Caenorhabditis elegans: one gene and its partner. The protein of the gene in region 1 purifies or fractionates together with the protein of each later gene. This does not show direct contact. Each region holds a gene or a part of one and is shown on either strand. Other genes may lie near its edges.

What was found.
Region 2: the proteins of casy-1 (region 1) and bam-2 purify together in Caenorhabditis elegans (affinity purification with western blotting, with the first as the bait; one study listed by BioGRID). This does not show direct contact.

What each region holds. Positions count from the first base shown.
Region 1 is NC_003280.10:5,953,644-5,958,923, forward strand, and holds the start of casy-1 (Secreted calsyntenin-1), read right to left. Parts: upstream 3,041-5,280; 5' UTR 3,002-3,040; coding exon 2,926-3,001; intron 2,873-2,925; coding exon 2,768-2,872; intron 2,082-2,767; coding exon 1,978-2,081; intron 1,754-1,977; coding exon 862-1,753; intron 817-861; coding exon 22-816; intron 1-21. UniProt on the Caenorhabditis elegans protein: Cell adhesion molecule involved in associative learning and memory.
Region 2 is NC_003279.8:2,954,697-2,959,694, reverse strand, and holds the start of bam-2 (Neurexin-related protein bam-2), read left to right. Parts: upstream 1-1,784; 5' UTR 1,785-1,827; coding exon 1,828-1,903; intron 1,904-2,722; coding exon 2,723-2,921; intron 2,922-2,998; coding exon 2,999-3,153; intron 3,154-3,916; coding exon 3,917-4,364; intron 4,365-4,751; coding exon 4,752-4,862; intron 4,863-4,998.

The DNA of each region.
Region 1 (5,280 bases):
TTATTTGCATTTAAAACTTACCAGCATTGTTTTGGCTGATGGTTATGGTGAGATCTGGAACCATAGCTTGTCCAACCTTAACCATGTGTTGATTACTTTTGAGTTGAGACGAAGCAGAGATTGAAAGAGTTGGTTCAGCGGCTTGTTGAACAAAAACGTATCCTTTGCTGGATGGTAGCTTCATCTTCTTGTCATCTTGTTTGCAAGTAACCTCAGTCTCAACAAGGAAAACACGGTGTCCTGGAGCTGGTTTCTCTTGAGTGTTAACATAGGCAACTCTCTTGAGCATTTGACCAATTTGCTTTGATGTTTCAGCCTTCAATGTAAGAGAGGTTTGATCTGGAGAGAATGTTGCACTTTGGCTTTCAAGAAGCTCATCAACTCCGGTGAACTGAAGTTGTTCTGGGCAAGTATGAGCGCATTTTATTGCACGTTCACTTTCAACAGCTCCAGAGAGAAGATAAAGAGAGGAAAGTTGTCCACGGAAGAACTGTGCAAGTTTCTGTTGCCGTCCGTGCCAGCACGCTCCTACAACAAGTTTGGTCTTTGTTGCCTTGGTCTTGTGAAGCGGCCAATCGTCGAGGATTTCAGGATTTCGTTCGTCAGCCTTAAAGCTCTTTCCATCGACGATAACATTAACATCATCGATGCCATTGAAGAGAAGTGAATATGAATGCCACTCATTATCGCATACTTCTGGCATTGACCAACGCCATTCAGCAGCACGGAAGTCTGAAGTGGCTCCAGCTTCACGGCGGAGAACAACCTCCAATTTGCAGTGACGAATGTAGACAGAGAAGTGATGACGGTTCATGTCTGAAAACACATATTCACTGGTTGTTTCTAAAAGAGATAACTCACTGAAATCATCACTTTCGCAAAGAATGTTCTGCTTGTTACTTTGCTCGTCCTTAGTTCCTGCAGCATGTTTCATGGAGAAGCTCAATGTGAAGTGATCCGGAATGAGTCCTTGATGATTTTCATCAGAGACAGTCACTCCTCTGGCTCCATCAAACTCAATTCCTTGATCAGCAAGAATCTGATTCTCAGCCGAGCTGGTAAGGGCTTCTTCGTTCAGCAATTTGACAGTAGCAGTTGAAAGTCCACAAGATTGAATTGTCTGATTATCATAGACAGTGTCTCTTGCACAACCTTGAGTAACGTGTCCAGCACGAAGTTCAATGACTGACTGCACACTCTTTGGTTCACAAATTGTTTCCTTTTCACAGAATTCAAGAGATACGTCTGGGAGGAGAAGCTTTGATCCAACTCCTGGAGCATAGTTGACACGCTCATTCATTGCAGTGATTCCTTGAACACATTTCTCATCAACGTGAACAGTGACCAGAGAACTTTTGCTTTTCCTCATTGCGCAGTCAATAGCGACTACAGTGAGAATGTATGATTTTGATTGAGTAAAGTTGAGTGGCTGAGTTGTACGAAGGACTCCATGATTGTTAATGGCGAACGGAAGTTCCTTAAGTCCATTTGTGATCTCATATTCACAGATTTCTCCGTTTGGATGTCCACAGTCTTTGTCAGATGCCTTCAGTACTCCAACTTCCTCAACAACTTTTCCCTCTTCCACGTGGAATGTGTACCAAGGGTTTTCGATTTCTGGAGCATGATTGTTGGTGTCCTTGACACGGATCTTCAGAGACACTCCTTCACTCTTCACATTGTCGTTATCGCATTTCACAGCTTGAACTTGAAGATTGTATTCTGGCTTCTTGCAGTCTAGTGTGGCAGCATCCTGAATAATAAATGTTTGAACTTTAATGGTGACTCATCAAGAATTAATTTTCTTTAGAAATATTGAATAAAGTTTAATGAAAATTCCTTCTAAGAACACATTGATTTTTAAGCTTACAAAACGGTTTTCCACTAATTATCTGATACACACGAATTAAAATATGAATACTGGAATTTTCATTAGATGCCTATTCTCCAAAAATACATTATGACATCATGTCTCACCTTAACTCGAAGTACAGCTGCTCCAGTGTACTTATCAACAACCTGGATGTCGAATGGCACTGGCTCATTGTTCTGTGATGTAAGGAGGTAGTTGCATACTGGCCCTGAAAATTCCCTCAAATTGTATTCGCTTTATTTTTGTTTCAATTTCAAATTGTGGATAGATATTCCAATTTTTCTAGCTTGTCTTTCATTCCATCACCCGTCTTTTTCAATTCATGCTCTCTCGAATCATCGGCTGTCATGTCATGTCATAGTTAATCCCTCTTCTTTTCTCTTTCTTTTCCACGTCAATCCCTTCGTGTTCTACATCGTCGTCGTCGTCGTCGGTGGCTCGTAATCCTGTGTGTGTGTGTATGGAGCCAGGCTGACAACGACAACGATGCTTCATCATCAAAGAGAAAACAGAGAAAATGCGTGAAAAGAAGAAGAAACATGAAAAAAGAAAACGAAACAATTAATGAGAGGCTGCATTGCTTTTTCGATGAGATTTTTGTGCAAATGAGGTGGGCATGTCAGGAAGGAAACACGAGGGAAAAGAAGAAGATTGAGAATGTAAATGCCATGAATACTAATGAGCATGATTATTTAAAGGAAGTAGCTGAATTTTTGTATTTCTCTAATTAGGTTTGTTAGTTTTCACACCTTCAATTAGGAAAAAGGAAAACTATAAAATTTAATTAAAGTTTCTTGTGATCTAACAAGCCGGCTTGATTATAAACATATCTATATGAATCATGATTTTTAATCGTAAGAGCTGAAAACAATTTATTTTAATCTCCCAACTCACCGGTTTCAGAGAGGATTGCAAAATCCGGCACGGTCGAGATAATGTTCTCATCTTCTCGCACGACAGCCACAAGCTCTTCGGCTCCTTGCAGATTGATTATTGGCGCTGAAAATAGATTGGAATTTAAGAACTAACGGCCAATAATCTGTAAGTGTTACCTCGAGCAGCATGGTGATGTTTGGCGTAGGAGACGCCTAGAAGGGCGCCGACAAAAATAAAGTACGCAGTTCGCATATGTGGGTTTGAGTAAGAGAGCCTGGTTGGAATTTGCGTCTGAAAAATGATTGGTTTTGTGTGCGTGAGTAGAGGTCTGCGAGCAGAGAAGGTGAGAAGAAAATAATTGAAGGAATAAGGAAATAACAAAAAGGGCAGAAAAATGAGAAAATGTGTTGAGTGAATGGAGGAAGTAAATGTGGATGTGTTTGGAAAAAAACAGACTAACAGTCTTAGTGGAATGATAAAACTCTAGGCTTTTGGGTATCTGTAGATTTTAAATACCGGAATTTTCAATAAGATAATTGAGTGGAGATTAACCCACCGATCAAAATTCTACGGATTTCGTATTTCTCTGGATTAAAAAAATATTTTTTTGATTTAGATTTAGATTTTTTATTGAAAGAAATTGTGATGATATACAAAACAATGTGTTCAAAAGACGGAACCACATTTTTTCTATCTCTCTCCCTGTCCACCACTACTTCATGCCTCAATCATTTTCCACCCTCACACGTCATTTTTCCGACTTTTTTCTTTTTTGTGAAAATCGTTTCAGCTCTGCAGCTCCTGGCACTGGTCACGCCATAGTTTTCCGGTAAGCCGTCAGGAGCACTAACATTTCGAAATGAAATGGTGGATGGCACGAGCGAGAAAAAAGAAAATGCGGGGAATTTTTCAATTAGGTGTCAAGGAAAGGTTTGTTTTCGGCTGCTTTCTTGAGCTTTTTCTTGAGCAGCGGGTCTTCTCATTCTTATTCGTGCGTCTACTCAACACCGACTATAAATAAATGGCAATATTGAATATGAGAATTCGTTGAAGAGGCATCATTATTTTGATTTAAAACTTCAAAGATCCAGGATTTAGTTTTAAAATGTTTTGGGATTTGGAGTTTGAAACAAAACGAGGGTTGAAATCTAAGAAACTGGAAAAAGTAGAATAAAAAAGAAAAGGAGGAAGAAAGGCAAACGAACAAAATCTGACGTAGATAAATAGCTGTTTTTTCAATGAAAATATGATTGAATTCTAGAAAAAGATTCTAGAAACGAGAAAAAGTGGCTGGAACGGAATGTGAGCCTTGTTGAAGCTGAGAAAGTAGAGCACGAGAGTCAGCATCTGCTCCTCCTACTCATACCATCTAATCTCCTCTTCACATCCGATTATCAGAAAATGAAATATTGAGTGCTGGGGGAAGTTAAGAAAATGAGAAACCAGAGAAAACATTGAGCTGGTTGTCATGGTTTCATGTGGGGAGCTCAGTCGGCAGAGTGAAGTGAGGCACGAAGAAAAAAAACGCCAAAAGAAATCTGAGAATAAGCAAAAGAATGCGAAGAGACAGAAGTTCTTCTTATTCTTCTTTCTTCAAGCATAACATGTGTGGTTTGAATTGAAAATTAGGTAGAAAAAGGGAAGAACCGAACATGCAAAAATCAAGGGTTGAAAAAGGGAGGCAAGAAGGGGAACAAGAAGAAGAAGAAGTTGAGAGTTGTGAAGACAAGCATGCATGTGTCAATAGAGGTGGAGCATTCGAAAGACGAGGCAAACGGAAGAGGAAGGACGCCGCCGCGAAGGGGACGGAGTACGACGAATAAGTCAAATGCTTACAAGATAAAAGGATGATGATCATGATTATGAGTCAACGAGGTCAATCATGTCAAATGGAATATTGATTGATTGAAACAGTCCCAGAATTGGTGTAAAGAAATTGGTGTAACAAGTTAGAATTTAACAACAAAGATGATCAGCACTAGTTCGTATGGATATGCGATACATTTATTTTACCAAGCAACAAAAAACATGAATTCTTGGATTAAAAAATAAGAAATTTTGAAAATATCCAATAAACTTGTATGTGGATTTTTGGTTTTTTTTAGCAAGACATTCTTGGAAAGAACCCAAAAATTCTATGAAATTCGCATTCCTGCTATTAGGTTTAAACAAAAGTTATATTTTTAGTCGATTCAGAGGAAGTACGGTATACGAAAAAGGAGTTTCTAAGATAATTTAATTCATTCTTACTACATTATTTAAAGTATCCGAAAATAGATCAATCTTCAATATTTTCAATTTACAGCTGCTTCAGACTTTTTTTTGTAAATTGTTGTTATCATGGAATGAACTTTTGGGATTTTTGCATTGTTCGCAAATACATATCCGGTAGTAATATTAAACAGTTCCTCGAATTCGAAAACGAAAACAGGTTGACATCCGATATTTTGGGAGGAACAAGAGAATACTGGGAAGGCTATGGAAAGAGAGGGGCACACAATAAATATAATTCCTTATTCATAATTCATCAT
Region 2 (4,998 bases), on another chromosome or scaffold:
TTTTTTCTGTATTTTCAAGGAAATTTCACAGTACTTTTGATTAAAATGGCCGAGAAAAATAGGTGGCCGAGAAATAAATTGGTGGCCGAGTTTTATTTTTTAAAGAAATTTTTCAGTACTTTTGATTAGAATGGACGAGAAAAAATTGGTGGCCGAAAAAAAATTGATGGCCGAGAAAAATTGGTGGCCGAGAAAAAATTGGTGGCCAAGAAAAAATAGGTGGCCGAGAAACATTGATGACCGAAAAAACAATTGGTGGCCCAGAATGGTGGCCGAGTTTTCGCAACTTTTTTCGTTGTGAAATTTCTTTATTTTTTTCTCCTTTCCCTGTCTCCTTATCGAACACAAAAGTTCAAAGAGGACATGAGAACCGTCTCAATTGCCTGCACACATGACTCATCTCTATACAACAGAAAAAATTTCGAAACGAAAAGAAGTTCCTGTAAAATATGAAATTTTTCTTGTTCTGTGCATTTTTTTCATGGCAAAAAATTCTATGCCAAAAATAATATTGAAAAAAAAATCAATTAGCAATAAAGTTTCGGTGGCCTAGTTCTACTGGCCTAAAATTTTCAAATTGCACTTCTGTGGCCTAAAATTCTAATTTGCCACTGAAAATTATAGGCCACCAGGGCAAAACTTATGACCTAGAAAACCTCAGTGGCCTAGAATTTTCTAAAATATGAATGTGACTAGATATACAATTTTTTTAAAAATTTCGTTTTGTACTCCTCTCGGACAACCAAAATAATTTTTTTCCATATTTTTCTCTCCAAATCTGCCATTATTTTCCCACACTTTCTCCACCATATTTCTTTTTATATTTTTTTGTGTTTCATTTTTTTTGTCCCCCTCCTCCGATTCTGATGATTTATTAAACATACGTTTCGTGACATTCCCTCGCCCCGCCCATTTTGCCACCCCTGACGAGGACCACTAAGCCCTTCATTTAACCCCCCCCCCCCCACATATTCTAGTACTTTATGAGAAGCTTAACCTTTTGTGGGGTGGTCCCAAAAAAAAGTGCAGAATTTTTTTGGGAAAAAAATTTGAAAATATTTTTGTGAAAATTTTTGAAAATATTTTTATTCAAAAATATCAGGTGTTTAAATTAAAAATACATTACCTTATCTGAAATTTGAATTCCCACCAAAATTTGCTTTTGAACTCCTCTCGGAAGACCCGAAAATTTTTTTTTACTTTTCTAGATTTATTTTTTTAATTTTTCTACTTTTTTTCTTCAAAAATACCAATTTTCAAACTCCTTACTTTTCTGAAATTCAAATTTCCATCAAAATTTTAATTTGAACTCCTCTCGGACAATCGAAAAAAAAATTCAAATTTATTCGAATTTTTACTCATTTTTTAACGTTTTCATTGAGAAATAAATTTACTAAATCGAAATTTTTTAAAACCTAAAATCAAAATTAAATTTTGAAGACCTCTGGGAGAATCAGAATAAAATTTAAAATTTTTAAAAAAATAAATGTGGGCTCCTCTCGGACAATCTTAGCTTCCACCTCCTCCGAAATTTTGAAATATTAATAATTTTTGAACATTATTCCTTCTTCACCATGTCAACTTCATATTCTTTCCATTTTTCCGTTCCGCTTCCGTGCTCTCCAGGGTTCATGCTCCTGGCTCCCCGGAAATGCACGATTATTTGGGGGAATATGTATCGAAACTTTTCATCTGCCCCTCCTCCTCCCTTGAGCCCTGCTTTTATCTTTTGAGTTCATACTCTTTTTTTTTTCAAAAACCCCACTCAAAATCTTCCATTTCAGGTTTCAAATCTCCCACTTTTTTTTCTTCACTTGCTCATCAAAAATGAGCAGCGAGAGGCGGAAGGACAATCCGCTGCGCTTCGCTCTTATTTTACATTTGTTAGCGGTTTTAGTTCAAGGTGAGCTTTTTTAGCAACTCGTTGTGAGGCCCGGGTAGTAGAGGCGGCCAAAATTACGGTACCTGGTCTCGCCACGACATTTTTTGTTGCTTGGAAAAAAAGTGTGCGCCTTTAAAGGGTACTGTAATTTCAAATTTTCGTTGCTGCAAACTTTAAACTTTTCCGGCAAAAAATTGTTTTTTTTTAAACTTTTTAGAAAAATTACCGATTTTTTGAAATTTTTCATAATTTTTTCATAAATGTTCTTAAAATATATACTTTTTTTGAATTCTTTTTGGAAAAATATAGGTTTTTTTAGTTTTTATATGGCAAATTATCGATTTTTCTTTTCTTTTTTTAATCGAAAAAGTATCGACTTCAAAAAAATTTCGTTGCAAAAAGCTTCGTTGTTTTTTTTTGAAATTTTTATCGAAAAAAATTATTACCCAGACGGTGCGTTTTTGCCCCAAAAATACGGTATCCGGTCTCGACACGATAAAGCAAAAATATGTGCGCCTTTAAATTTTTTATGCTCATCAATTTTTGTTAATTTTTCAATTGAAAAAATGTGTTTAGGCTATAAAAAAGAAAATGAAACCACATAAATTTTAAATCGTGAATTCCGCAGAATTTCAAAGCTACAGTACTCTTTAAAGGCGCACACCCGTTTACATGTAGCAAAAAAATTGTCGTGGCGAGACCGGGTACAGTATGCAAAAATCACAAAACTTGATAATGGGGTAATAACCGCATGGCTCAGTAGATAGTGGCTCCGGTTAACACTCAAAAGGTCACAGGTTAGACCCCCTTCGCATCAATGCAATTTTCTCTTCATTCCAGGTGATATTCAACCCCGTTTCTCATGCTATAATCACTATTTGGCGGGAATCCGAACAAGTTCTGTACTTCCTATATCCGGTCACTCGTCAGCCCCGTCAAATGTCAAGTGTATATTCGAGAATGACGTGGCATTCACAGAAATCCACTCGGCACTCGAAAATTCGTATCAAGTGATGGGAAAGAAATCTGTCAATTTTCAGTGAGTCTTTTTTGTTTTGGATCATCTGGATCTGGGATCTAGACTTCCTAAAATATTTTTTAAAAAACTATTTACAGAGTTCTCGATTTATTCCACCTTCGGGAGCTTGTTAGGAGGTCTCATTGCACGCAGACTCTCACTGTAACCTGGAAAAATGTCCCAGAAGCTGGAAAAGGAGGCCTTAAAGTTGTTTCACTGCTCAATGAGACTACAAGGATCGAGTATAGCGGAGGTTTGTGATTTAAAGGCGCAAGGCGGAAACCTGGATTTTGTCGGCTGCTCCGAGTGGCGCAGAGAGCAGTCCTAGACAAAAGTCGGCTGCTAAGCTTACTTATAAAGCATCAAGTACCCCACAGTGCAAATGCGCTCTACTGATAATTTTTTGTTTTGTTTTGTAGTCGGTGACGACATGCTCCCAATTAATTTATGTTTGAATTTTAGAATAAATTAAAAATATATAATACTTTTTCAAAAAAAATTTGAATTTTTGTGTCAGAGCGGGCACGGAATTCTGGCTTCCCTTATAAATCGAAATGGCAAGTTTGCCGAACTAGGCCATTTTGGGTCGGACAGATTTTGTGTAGATTTACGGCGCGTTGCGTGTCGCGTCGCGGCTCGTGTTTGGTTGTAAAACTGATGTATTTGTCCGTGTGGAGTACACGACACTTTTCCACGCGTTGTCCGGCAGGCGATTGTCAATGGAGCGCGAAAAATTCATGAGGAAGGCCAGAACCCCGTGAGCGGGGAGGCAAATTTTTGCAAATTATTCTCGAAAATGCTCCCCTAATTTTTTAAAATTTGAAAAACAAAGTGACCAAAAAATTCTCTAATTTGAGGAAAACCTTTTTTATCAAAACTTGTTTCAACCGGGTTATGCTTTTTGTACAATAGAGCGCATTTACACTGACGTATCCATTTTTTAACGTCAAAATTTCTGTAGAAAATTGTGGAAATATAAATAAGTTGGAATTTACCAAAAAAAGTTAATTTTCTAGATGAACGTCAAGACTTTCTATTCGACGAAACATTCGCAGGAGTTCGTCACTTGATTCCTGATGAAGATGACAACGAATCCAATCCGACAGTAACTACAACTCGACTTTTATGCAAACACATCCCTCAACCCGAATGCCTTGTTCGCGGCAAATTCGAAGTTGATTTGGAGGCGAATTTGGAGTGGAGCTATGCGTTTTCTTTCAAGACTGACATCACAAATCAGACACTTTTCACACTTCGATGCGGTGATACTACTTCAGAAGTTCGACTTGAGAACGACTTTTTCATTCGAGCAGATGGGAATGCTCCTGTTGCAGTTACACATTTATCAGATGCCACATGGCATACTGCAATTGTGAAGCATAACCAACCGGATAGTCATTTCTTGAAAATTGATGATTTTCCGGAGATTGAACTGGGTAAATCGATTAGTGATGATACCGATAAGTGAGTTTTTGAAAGATTAAAATATTTGAATTGGAAATTTTAGAAAATGAGTTTAGGGATCAATTGTAACTGTTAAAAATTAAATGTAACTTCTTGAAAACATCTCAAAAAAAAGTTATGATGGCTCAAAAAATGGCCTAAAATTAGTTAAAATTTGAAATTTGACCGACTTGCCAAGCGGCTGGAAACTAATTTTTTTGAAATTGCCGTCAAATTTTGAGTATACAATTTAATTATCTTGGGTTTTCAACTCGATTTAGGTATTTTAACATCGATGGACGGTGAGATTTGGTTTTAAAAATTTAAACAAAAGTTTTCAATAGTTATATTTAGTTTTGAGTTCTTTTAAAAAATTTTTAATGTAATTTTTAGACTTTTTCCTTCCAGAACAATTACACTGAGTATCTCAGTTAACGGAAACATCCAACTTATCGATCCAACAGACACCAATGACGATTGTATGTACAGTTTTGACAAACCACAGAAAAGACTGCAGGAGTGAGTTTTTTCGCATTGAAATATGCTTCTTAAAATTGTTTTAACTTTTCCAAGAAAGTTATTCAATATCCTTGGCAAGTTAAACAGAAATTTCGGGAAAATTTAGGTCCGCTTATAAAAAACAGAATTTTTATTA